Linked DNA regions of Saccharomyces cerevisiae S288C. The main gene of each other region encodes a partner of the protein of the gene in region 2 in a complex. Each region holds a gene or a part of one and is shown on either strand. Other genes may lie near its edges.

Region 1 (5,317 bases), on a different chromosome or scaffold from region 2:
CACGAAGTCAGTTGCTCAAGAAGCTGTGGATGCTAACTGCAACGTAATTGTTGCTTACCATCCTTTTATTTTCCCAAGCTGGAACAGATTAAGCCCACATACAAACCCACAACACGAGACAGCTATAAAGCTAATCCAGTACGGAATATCCGTATACTGCCCTCACACTGCCGTAGATGCCGCTCGTGGCGGTGTAAATGACTGGTTGGTTAGGGGTTTGAACAACGGAGAGAACGTCGCAAAGTCTTATGCCTTGGAAACTGTAAGTGGCGAAACTGACGACTTGATTGGCTACGGTAGATTCGTAGAATTCAATAAAGACATCTCTTTGGAGCAAATTGTCAAAAATGTCAAGCGTGTTTTACGGGTTCCCTATGTACAAGTAGCATCTCTTGCTGCTCCATCCGCATGGAATCAACTCAAAATCAAAAAAGTCGCTGTCTGTGCCGGGAGCGGTTCTGGCGTGTTTAAGCAACTAAAAGAGGACGTAGACCTTTACTATACGGGAGAAATGTCACATCATGAAGTACTGAAGTGGAAAGAAATGGGCAAGACCGTTATTGTTTGCAACCACTCAAATACTGAGCGTGGATTCCTTCAAGACGTTATGAAGGGCTTGTTGCAAGATGAGGGCCACGAAGTAGTCGTAAGCAAAATGGATTGCGATCCTTTGACTGTTGCATAGCTGCTAGTAATTATATGGCTATATAGGATATCACAAATACCATACGTACTACAGTTTTATCATCCGGCTGTTCGTGTAAAATGATGTTGTTGTATCGGATAGAGAAATACGGATAGAAAAGGTAAAAGTCTTCAAATAACAAGGACAATAACATACTCTGTATTGAAGACGAAGTACTCAGCAAAGCGTAACGTAATTACACTTAGCACACAAATATACTCACACAAATATTACAAGGCATGTCGACGGATACCATGTATTTCAACAGCTCCAGGCTGTTGCCATCGGCTGGCAGGAACAAGACAAATAATCTAATCAAACAAAAAACTAGAAATAATCGTGCGAGGGGAAATGCTGCTAAGAACGCCAATAATAACAACTATATCACAGATATACCACCTCCTCAAACTCTTCCTAACGGTCAGAAACCTAACTTCGGCCATTCTTCCAACAAGAAACCATCATTTAATCAAAAGAAGCACTCTCCACCTTCTTCCCCTTCCTCTACAACTACTTTAGGTAAAAAAAACAGACAGAATAATAAAGAAACGCCACGACAGAACAACAAAGATGATACTCGTTTACTGAGTCAGAACCTAAAGAATCTGCTTCTGAACCAGAAACAATCCCCGCATGGCTCTCAAGGGATAATACCAATGGGTTGTAATGGCAGTGCCAAAAAACTCAGTCACTCTTATGCAGGCTCCACTTTCGCCACTAATGGTCCAAGGGAGGCTAAAAACTTGCCCAAACCAAGTTTTTTATAATCACCCTTTAGAGAGACATTTTTGATTTTTTTTTTTTTTTTTTTTTTTTTTTTTTTAGAATAATGCATATTTTTATTTGATATATACCTATGTACCAATTATACGAATGCTTATGTCTGTTTTGGATCTGGTCATCCAAAGCAATTTCTCAGATGACAATTTTTTTTTCCTATTTTCTGTTACAGTTCATCATTATGCTGAAGAAAAATGAAACATGGCGGTGAATAATAAATAACACATTCGTACAACAAATCTTGTGGTAGAAAACCTAAAAAAAACCAATACGATAGAAAATGGATGAAGTCTTACCATTGTTTCGCGATTCTCATATTCCACAGATTAAAGATTATCAATTGGAGTTACAGAACGATTTGACTAAAACCAATGAGGCCTTCCAAAAGAATTTGCTAAAGAACTATAACAAGATCTTAAGCTTGACCGATTCTGTTAATGACTTGTCGCTCAATTTGAAAAATGTTGATCAAGATTTTAAATCCCTGTGTTTCAATGATGAAAAATTTCAGTTGAATAAGTTAACTCCACTACCATACCAAACCACTACCCATATATCACCACCTCGTGACGAAGAAAAAGTCAGCATACCATCGCAAAACATTTTAGTAATTTCAAATTGGACCATCTCCATCAACAACTTCTGTAATCGTATAGTTACTTCCACTACTCCGTCGCGGATATTCGACGAGCTACTGTTGAATTTCCACGAATTATCTTTGATACCAGTTCCTTCCAAATTTGAAGCGCTTGTCAAGGACAAATGTTGTCGACTACAGAAGTTCTTGGTGGACTCTATGAAGACATTAAACTTAACTTTACTACAGTGGGTAAAACTATACAATTTACTAAACACGGAGTTTTCCTCGAAGTGGGACGATGATTTACTTTCTATATTCAATGAATCCCTATTCGAGACACTATTTAACGATAACGTTCAAGCGTTACTGATATCAAGTGCCAACAGCAAAGATCATCAATATCACTCCAATCAGCAATATAAGGACGCGATTGTTGTCGATTTTGTGAATTCGTCCACCTTTAGAGACCATCTCATTCGGAGAACCGTGAAAGAAATAAACACACATTTGGATACACTCTCTACTTTGAGAGCCAAGCTTAAGGAGCCTGAAACTCTTCATAAATTAGATATCTTCCATGATAATGATACGAACCTCAATGATGGCACTGTATCTCCACTTGATGATGATGCATTGAAACAATATATTGATACAGCGGTATTCTATTCAAAAGGTTTAACCAATGATACCACGTTGCAAATTTATCAAACGGTGCAGCCTACGATTGAAATCCTACAAAACTTAGAATTGTATAAATGCCCTCAAGAGACACTGACAGATTTGAGAAATAAATTGATTACTCAATTGCAAGAGTTTAAGACTCAGATCTCATCCCGCTTACCTTCACCACTGGAAAACTCAACGAGTGTTGTGGATGATTTTATAACTTCGTACAACAATCACAATCTCTTGCAATTAGTCATCGATCAAATTACTCAATTAAGGCAACAGTAATATAATAGCACGAGGGAGGGTACCCGCCTCGCAAACTTATTGATAATGATAATGGTATGGGCGTTGATATATACATATATATATATATATATATATATATATATATATACATAATATATATATGTTTATCTGTGTGTATCTATGTGGACTTCAATAAGTGATCGCCTTCTTGATATCATATTACTCCCCCATTTCACCTGAATTAATTTCGGAATACATGAGTAAGCTCTTGGACCGAATCATTACTAGGCTTCATGACTGTTGAATATACTGCATCCGATTTGGCAACCTATCAGAATGAGGTGAACGAACAAATTGCCAAGAATAAAGCACATCTTGAATCATTGACTCATCCAGGTTCGAAAGTGACATTTCCGATCGATCAAGATATTTCTGCTACACCTCAAAACCCGAACTTAAAAGTTTTCTTTTTTGATATCGACAACTGTCTCTATAAATCATCCACGAGAATTCACGATCTTATGCAACAATCTATACTGAGGTTCTTTCAAACACACTTGAAACTATCACCTGAAGATGCTCACGTTTTGAATAACTCTTACTACAAAGAGTATGGACTTGCCATAAGGGGACTTGTAATGTTCCACAAAGTGAACGCACTGGAATATAACCGGCTTGTGGATGATTCCTTACCACTACAAGATATCTTGAAACCTGATATACCATTAAGGAATATGCTGTTGAGATTGAGACAATCGGGAAAGATTGATAAATTGTGGCTTTTCACCAACGCTTATAAAAACCACGCAATACGTTGCCTGAGATTGTTGGGTATAGCGGATTTATTTGATGGATTGACATATTGTGACTACTCTAGGACAGATACGCTGGTCTGCAAACCACATGTTAAAGCATTTGAAAAAGCCATGAAGGAAAGCGGGTTGGCAAGATACGAGAATGCTTATTTTATAGATGACAGTGGGAAAAACATCGAGACAGGTATCAAATTGGGCATGAAAACATGTATTCATTTAGTTGAGAATGAAGTAAATGAAATTTTGGGGCAAACACCAGAAGGCGCTATTGTCATTAGTGATATATTGGAGTTACCACACGTTGTGTCCGACCTGTTCTAAGGTATATCAATTTTAAGTATAATTGTATATAAATCTACTTGCATTAGATGCCTCTATAAAATAAAATAAACCAAAAAAAAAAAATAAATTGCACCCCCCGTAAGTTCTCATTTACGTAAAGGTTGGGCTTGTTGCTTCTTTTGTTTGGCAACAGCATAAATAATACCTGATAGGAAACCAATAAAAATGGAGAGAATAGATAAGAAGTTTCTTGGAGCATCAAAGAAAATCAAACCAGACAAGGCAATTGGCAGCTTGTTCAAAGCCCCTACCATCGAATATGTAGTAGACGAAGTAACACGAACACACCAACCGGAACAGTAAGAAATACCGACGGATGCAACACCACTGATGATCATAGCAGTTAGCGAATCGTTAGAAAAGTTATTGGTCAAATTAACTGAAGACCAATCTTCCACACAGAAAGAAAACAGCAATAGAATAGGTAGAGCCAAAACATTGTTGTAAAACATAGTGTCGAAATCCTTGAAGTTAGTTAACTTAATTCTCTTTCTCATTATAAGAACGAATAATGCAGAAGTGATACAGTTGGTGAACATCCAGAAATAACCTGGGTTAAAGGAGGCAACAGCACCGGCTGCTCCTTCAGCCAATGAAGCAGCCTTGGCAGCCACAGCTTGCTGGTCACCCCAAGTTGCAACGACAGAAGAAAGGACCATCAACAAAAATGATGACAATTCCATGGAGGTGACAGAGCCACCAAAAAAGAGAACCTCACCATAAGCAATCAAGATAATAGTCAAATTCTTGAAAATGGTGTAAATTGGAACAGCCAAGTATTGTAAAGCCTTCGAAGAGGTGTAGATCATCAAGACCAGTAAAAAGGAAATAGGGAACCAGTTCTTGGCGTCTGTTTTGTTTAATGAACGGAACTTCGCATAGCCCAGTATACGTAGGATAATCAAGGTTATAGTACAAACCAAAGATTGCACGAAAAGCATGACAAAGTTCATGTTGAAATCCTTCAAATTGACGACGAACTTGTTAGTCACCGTCATTAAAATAGAGGAACCACAGTAGGATAAAATAGAGATCGGACCGGAATTGGCAACTGAAGCCCAAGGGTTATGGCCTGCATGACCTGTTTTCAATTCAGACATTCGGGCGAAAGATACTGTGTGGTTAGTGTGTTTGTTTTCTTAGGCTCTTTTGGTAATTAAGAGGATGTCAACAATTAATCGGCAACAAGAAATAGGCTTG
Region 2 (7,013 bases):
CCCGACTCTCCTTCTAGTTCATCGTTGCCTTTGACCCAGACTGGAGGCCCATCTTCCGCAGATAACGATTCCATTGCCACTGGCACGAACAATCGTTCTCCTCAACAAACGAAAGCTGCTGATGCTAATCAGAAATCTGAATCCGAGTCTCCAAAGGCAATTAGATCAAATTCTAAAAAGATATCTCGTTTCTTCAGGAAAATCTGGTCGTCCAAGTCATCAAATTCTGCAGATTCCGTAGAAGAGAATAGCAAAACAAAGCAGAAAAGGAAAAATCCGGAGAGAGTTGTACCAGAACCGATAACGTCCCTTGACCAACCGGTTGAAATTATAAAACAGAGTTTTTCAACCGTTAACAATCACGAAACGGCTGTACCTTCAATTAAGGACTCTGGCATAGTACAAGAATTGACAGCACTCGGAGATAATAACAGGATACCAGTTCTTCCACCCCCTAGGTCACCAAACAGACCTACACTGTCTGATAAACGAACTACAAAGTTATACTACTGTAGTCAAGATTCGTCTAATGAAGATATTGCTCCAGAGGAAAAGAGCACCGTTTTCTTAAAGCGTTTGCAGGATGAATGGTCTACCGTGTATTTAAACAAATTGCCTTTGACTGCTTCTGTGCCATCTTCTCTCTCTACCACTACTGATGCTGCGAACTCTTCGTTCATAAACTCTTCAATATCATCGCCGGCTCCTTCTTCTTCGTCCTCGTCATCGTTGGTTTCCCGTGGACCAATGCAATCCATATCTTCTTCGCCAACACCTGCCCCTTCTTCAGGGTCATCGAAATCTAAAAATGCCGTCAAATCCTTACGCTTTGCGGATGAGATTTATGTAAACGATACGTGGTCCGCCGCGGACTATTGCAGGTGTGATAATACCTTTTTGAATAATTTCTTTAAAGGAAAGAGCCAAGACATTACCAATCCTTCTACTTTTGTCGGTAATAATCTCTCATCCACAAAAAATATATCCAATATTGAAATCAAAATGGAGGTGAATGAGTTCAAAAGAAAGGAAATGCGCGTTCACCAGGATAGCGCTAAGTATACACATTACTACTTATAACGGGTTCATCAAGCTTTTTTCCTTCTTGAGACTCTGTTGTATCTCTTTATATATTCTATTTTATTTTATATGCATCGAACTTTTTACGTAAGATAAATACTTACTACATTTTGGATAATTGTTTTAACAGGTTAATTTCTATAATCTATTTTTTATCTGCTCTTATAGCATTCAAATATTTGCAGCGGTAAAAAATTATGGTTAAGACCCGCGCGACTGTAAAAATAGCGCGTAAGATTTCCCTGAAGAGCGATGAGTTTTAACATTTAAAAGATATGTCTGAGATCAATCGCTTTTTTACCAGCTACCTAACTTTATAACCTTAACCGATAATTAGAATTTTTTACAGTGATTATCTAAGAGTGTTAATGAAGTTTTTATTGATGGATGCTTGCTTAACGCGGGGGCTCGAAAATTACTTAATCACATTTTTATCGCCTATGGACATACTGATAGGGAATATTTGAATTATATCATTTCGAATAATGTTCAGAATATAGTGCTGTGGTAATAATCTTAAGATGATAAATTTTAATTCACATAAAAAACTGTAATACCAATGTAGGTATTTACATCGTAATTTCTGGGGATCTCGTACAGGTTTACATGCCCCATTATACCAATAACAAAATGGGAGAGATTTAAAAATGGACTGTTCAACCAGTGGTGCAATGTAAGGTGAAGGGCTATTTGTAGAGAATGTGGATTTTGATGTAATTGTTGGGATTCCATTGTGATTAAGGCTATAATATTAGGTATGTAGATATACTAGAAGTTCTCCTCTAGGATTTAGGAATCCATAAAAGGGAATCTGCAATTCTACACAATTCTATAAATATTATTATCATCGTTTTATATGTTAATATTCATTGATCCTATTACATTATCAATCCTTGCGTTTCAGCTTCCACTAATTTAGATGACTATTTCTCATCATTTGCGTCATCTTCTAACACCGTATATGATAATATACTAGTAACGTAAATACTAGTTAGTAGATGATAGTTGATTTTTATTCCAACACTATTAATCATACAAATACTTTGAAAACTTCTTTAAATAATCTCATAAATCTTTACATTGAACTAGGATGATAAAAGTGAGCTTAACGTCAATAAATCCCACTGAACCAAAAATATGAGTAAGTAGTAGTACATTACGATACAGTTCGATTCACCTTTCTCCGGTATCTGTCACCTAGAAAACTTACGAACCGCAATGTTAAGGCAAATTCAAATCTAACAAATGAATTCCACTGTTGTTATGTTTGCATGCATCTAGGTGCGTTGTGGTCCACGAGATAACAACCTTAATGTCTCTTGGTTGATCACTACTTTGGCAGCGATCTTAATTTGTTTATATATTTTGACTTTATTGATTACTTGTTTAAATGAGTTGCTTGAATTGTTAACGAATTTACAATATTCGGAGCCCTAAAAAATTCATGAATTTAATCCGATATAGTGTAACGGCTATCACATCACGCTTTCACCGTGGAGACCGGGGTTCGACTCCCCGTATCGGAGTATTCGTTATATTTTTTCAATCGCTTACGATCAAAAGCTTTGAAAACATTTTTTTTACCGTGTAATGTAATTTTTATTTCGATATCAGATTTATGTATGCATGAAAATTATAGAAAAAGTTGAAATTACACATAAGTTTATTTCGTTATGGTATCAATATCACCATTTCTTAAAAGATCCGCCACCTCTTTGGCAAAAAAATCTGTGAAGACGTCCAAGTACATTACGTCTGCGACTTGATCCTTAGCAAACTTTCCATTTTCTGCCAATTCAGTTATAGTTTCATAATATTTGGAATATGATTGTGTAATTAACTCTTGCACAGCGTCTAATAAATTAGTAACAATCTCTTGATCATCGATATAGTTCAATATCTGTTCATATATTCTTGGTAATCTGGCCTTTATATTCTCTCTTAATTTTACGTTTTTGCTTAACAGATCTTCATCACTATTGATATCTAAAGTGTCATCAATAAGCTCCAAAGAAGTGCTTTCAGTAAAATCTTTAATGACGTTTCTCAATTCAGATATGAGTTCCGTACGGGCGTCCACCATATTGTTTACAACTTTTGGAACCAGCTCTCTTGCCAGGGTCAATATTGAAGATGACTTTGTCTTTTTCAAAACGTTTCTACCATTTTCTTTAAGTGATTTGAAAAACCCCTCAACACCAGAAAAATCCAGATAAGTTTCATTAACTGTATATTGAATATTAAAGTTCTGTATGGAATCACGTAACATCAACAAATTTTTTAGGTACGCTAATGAAATATCTAAGTTGTTAAAATCAGATTTTCCCGCTGAAGATTTGATAACCATATCATAGGCATTTCTCAAGGATACAATACAGTCGTGGACTACATGGTGAGCTAAATCATCAAATACCACAGAATTGATCATTTCATAAATTTTGGACAATAAAGCCAAAGTCTTTAACAAGGGCGGATAATATGTTTGCAACTGTGAAATTTTATCAGTAGATTCTTCTGAATCAATACTTTTATCGTCTGCATCATTAGGGGATATGGGCAATATGCTTCTATTCTTGAAAGAAGATAAATAAGATTCTAACAAGGGATCTGGATTGTCATCACTAGTAGTAGCATCTTCGTTACCCCCTTGTAAGCTGGTCTTCGATTTTCTCCTTCTATTTGAAATCATGAAAACGTCCCTAGTGGGCCTATAGCTCAAAATATTTTGTTGGACATATATTTGCACTCTTAAAATTAATCTAGCCTGCACTTTTTGGACAATCGGTTCGAATAGTTTATCATACTGAATGTCGGTAAACTGCTTCACGTATTCTTCTGAACCTTCTTCAAATTCATAATATGGAGCAAACAAAGTCACTGAGTCACACAAAGTACAAATATCTGTCTCTTTCAAAACCCTGACTCTAATGGAGTCATAAAGGGGTTCACATAACTGTAAGAACCACTGATTAATCTTGAAACGACATTCCTTTTCAGGGAAAAATTCTACGAAAAGTTTGTATTCGTCCGCGCATAACTGCTGAAAATAAACCTTACCGTCTTGAATGAATTTGACCAAGCCCTGGTCCTTATCTTTAACAACAATTTCATCAATGTGTGACCAAATGACCGGAGTTAGCAGTCTTAAACGTGTTTGGAAATAGTGGTTGAAACACTCGTAAAGAATGGAATTCAGTTCATCGTGATACTTGTTGTAGGCTTTTTCGTTGCTTCTCTTAACAATTTCCGAAACCTGAATTTTGAAAGTATCAGCTATGGTATAGAATTTACTGTACAAGAAGGCGTCTCTTGTAGTCGACGGCAACCCAGTTAACGAATTTTTGTTTTTGGTTTTATCCAAAATTTCTTGATTTGTTTGTTTCAACAGATTCGTTAAAAAGTGAGATATCAATTCACAGGCTCTGATCAAGCATTGCTTGAACTTGATTCTGTACGCTGCCGCATCCTTGAGGTCACTATTCTCATCCAAAAAACGTAAAGACTCGTCGATAGTCGCCAACATTGTCGTAAAGGAGCTCTTCTTAACAATAGCGGGAGAAGTGGCATGGTTCAAGCGACGCATTATAGGGTCTAAAACTTCAAAATAATGGAGAGCTTTAGGGATTGACTCAGTTAGATTGCTTAATTTAGACTGCTTTTCATAGATCGTCTTCGTTTCCTCAATGAAAGCTCCAGTATCCTGAGAGATTTTCCGAAATTTCTTGATGGAACTATCCAATTGATCGTTAACCTGGCGTGTTTGATCCAGAACAACTTTATACTCGTCTATCTTAATGTTTAACTGGTCCAAATAGGTAGTATAATACAAATACTTGTTTGTCTTTTTTACATCCGCAGAAGTCGTAGCTTCAGAACCATTAACCTCTGAACAACCTTCTGAGACATCAGTTCTTTGCAGACTGTCAGAATTTTCCACAGCCAAAGATAGCTTTTTTAGCTTATCAAAAAGGTACGAATCGTCCAGTAAACCCACTATGGTCTGAGATTCTGGTATAGTCGGATGAGACGCAATATCTCGAACCAATGAATTCTTTCTACTTCTCGCCATCTTTGGATGTGTCGATAATTCGTGCAATATTGGGTAAAACAATTCATGCTGGGAGTATTTATTGTGTGTCTATAAAGCCAAGACTTTACATAACAATGGACGCAACGACTGCCGTTATACAGGGTAACCTCAATTTGCGCCTCTATATTCTATATTAATACTACTTATGATCCATCCGCAGCTGATACTTAGAGTTACGAGGCAGAGCATCGAAAAATCTGAGCCCACCATTAAGTTGCAATATAAGTACGAATTTTCCTGCTCTTCTCTCGTCTTTGGATTACTGTATTCATTGATAAATCTCTATTATTTTTTTCAGTTTTTCACTTTCTTTTCGAGCGATGGGAACGGCAAATCACGAAAATTTTCTGTCAACGTAGAAAGTAATGATGTGTTAATACTATCGAAAAGCTGTGGAATTGAAGAGCCCAGCCCAAAAAGTCTGCATGAATAGCGTAAAAAGAGTAAAGCTAAATTCAAAAATGTCCAAACAAATATGCACGCATTCCGGATCTTTTCACGCGGACGAGTCGTTGGCGGTATACATGTTAAGGCTACTACCCGAATTTAAAGATGCTAAGTTGGTTAGATCAAGAAATCCCAAGGACTGGGAGGCTAGTGACATTCTAGTGGATGTAGGAGCTCAGTATGACGGCGTGAAATTTTTTGACCACCACCAGCGTGGATTTTTCGAAACTTTCAACGAGAAATACAAGACTAAGCTCTCAAGTGCTGGTCTGATCTTCAAACACTACGGTCGTGACATTATCAAAACAATTTTGAACAACAAGGTTAGCAGCTCTGATTTAGATCTGCTCTATGACAAGGTATACAAACAATTTGTCGAGGCACTGGATGCAAACGACAACGGTATTAGCAAGTACACGATTCCTAAGGATTCCAACTTGGAACCGAATTTCAGGGATAACGCCATCAGCATTCCCGGGATTATTTCAGGTATGAATCCTAACTGGAACGAAGACACTTCCGATGAGTCTTTTGACAGATGCTTTGCTCGCGCAAGTGAGTTTATCGGTGGGGTCTTTGTCACATTGGTAAGAGGCTACGGTCAATCGTGGTTGCCAGCCAAGGCCCTTGTGGCGCAAGCCATTGATGAAAGAATGGATGTTGATAAGAGTGGCAAAATCATTGTCTTGCCCCAATTCTGTCCATGGAAGGAGCATCTATACGAGCTGGAAAGAGAGAAGAACATTGAAAAGCAAATCGAGTTTGTTCTCTTCACAGACTCTTCTGGTGCCTGGAGGGTATCTACTGTACCAATCAACTCCACCTCCTTCCAGTTTAGGAGAGGTTTGCCGGAGCCATTAAGAGGCCTCAGAGACGAAGAGCTGAGCACCAAGAGCGGTGTGCCAGGATGTATCTTCATTCATGCAGCAGGTTTCATTGGAGGTGCCAAGTCCAAAGAGGCTGTATATGAGCTGGCTAAGATGTCTTTGGCCTAGTCGGGAGCGAGCGCTCAGTCAGGTCCCTTATCTATTTAATAATATTTAACAATTCCACTATTTATTCTGTATAGTAAGTAAATCTTTAATGCAAGCAAAAATCTTCCCGCCGCGAATCCTGAAACATATTCCCCTCGGTGAAACACGCTCTTGAAAATGACCTGAGAACACAAGATATCAGACGGCTCTTGTTGCACAAAAAACAAAAACAAAAGAAGCAAGCTACGTTGCAGCCACTGGTACTGTCTGCTAACTCAAACATTCTTTTTCATTTTTAATATACAGATTTCGTATTCTCCCGTTCCCGCTATACGCAATTTTCTTTCTTTTTTTTCCCTCTTTGGTTAGGAGACTGCAGATCAGTCCCATTTTTTCCAACAGAACAAACAAGCAAACGTTTC

The links.
Region 1: COG3 (region 2) and COG1 share a complex: the UniProt entries of both Saccharomyces cerevisiae proteins name them as parts of the conserved oligomeric Golgi (COG or Sec34/Sec35) complex.

The regions. Positions count from the first base shown.
Region 1 is NC_001139.9:76,794-82,110, reverse strand, and holds COG1 (Golgi transport complex subunit COG1), read left to right. Parts: upstream 1-1,745; coding exon 1,746-2,999; downstream 3,000-5,317. Other genes in the region: NIF3 (uncharacterized protein), read left to right, coding at 1-685; EDC1 (Edc1p), read left to right, coding at 925-1,452; SDT1 (nucleotidase), read left to right, coding at 3,254-4,096; VRG4 (GDP-mannose transporter), read right to left, coding at 4,204-5,217. UniProt on the Saccharomyces cerevisiae protein: Acts as essential component of the peripheral membrane COG complex that is involved in intra-Golgi protein trafficking.
Region 2 is NC_001137.3:482,924-489,936, reverse strand, and holds COG3 (Golgi transport complex subunit COG3), read right to left. Parts: upstream 5,150-7,013; coding exon 2,744-5,149; downstream 1-2,743. Other genes in the region: YER158C (uncharacterized protein), read left to right, coding at 1-1,080; MYG1 (Myg1p), read left to right, coding at 5,596-6,612. UniProt on the Saccharomyces cerevisiae protein: Acts as a component of the peripheral membrane COG complex that is involved in intra-Golgi protein trafficking.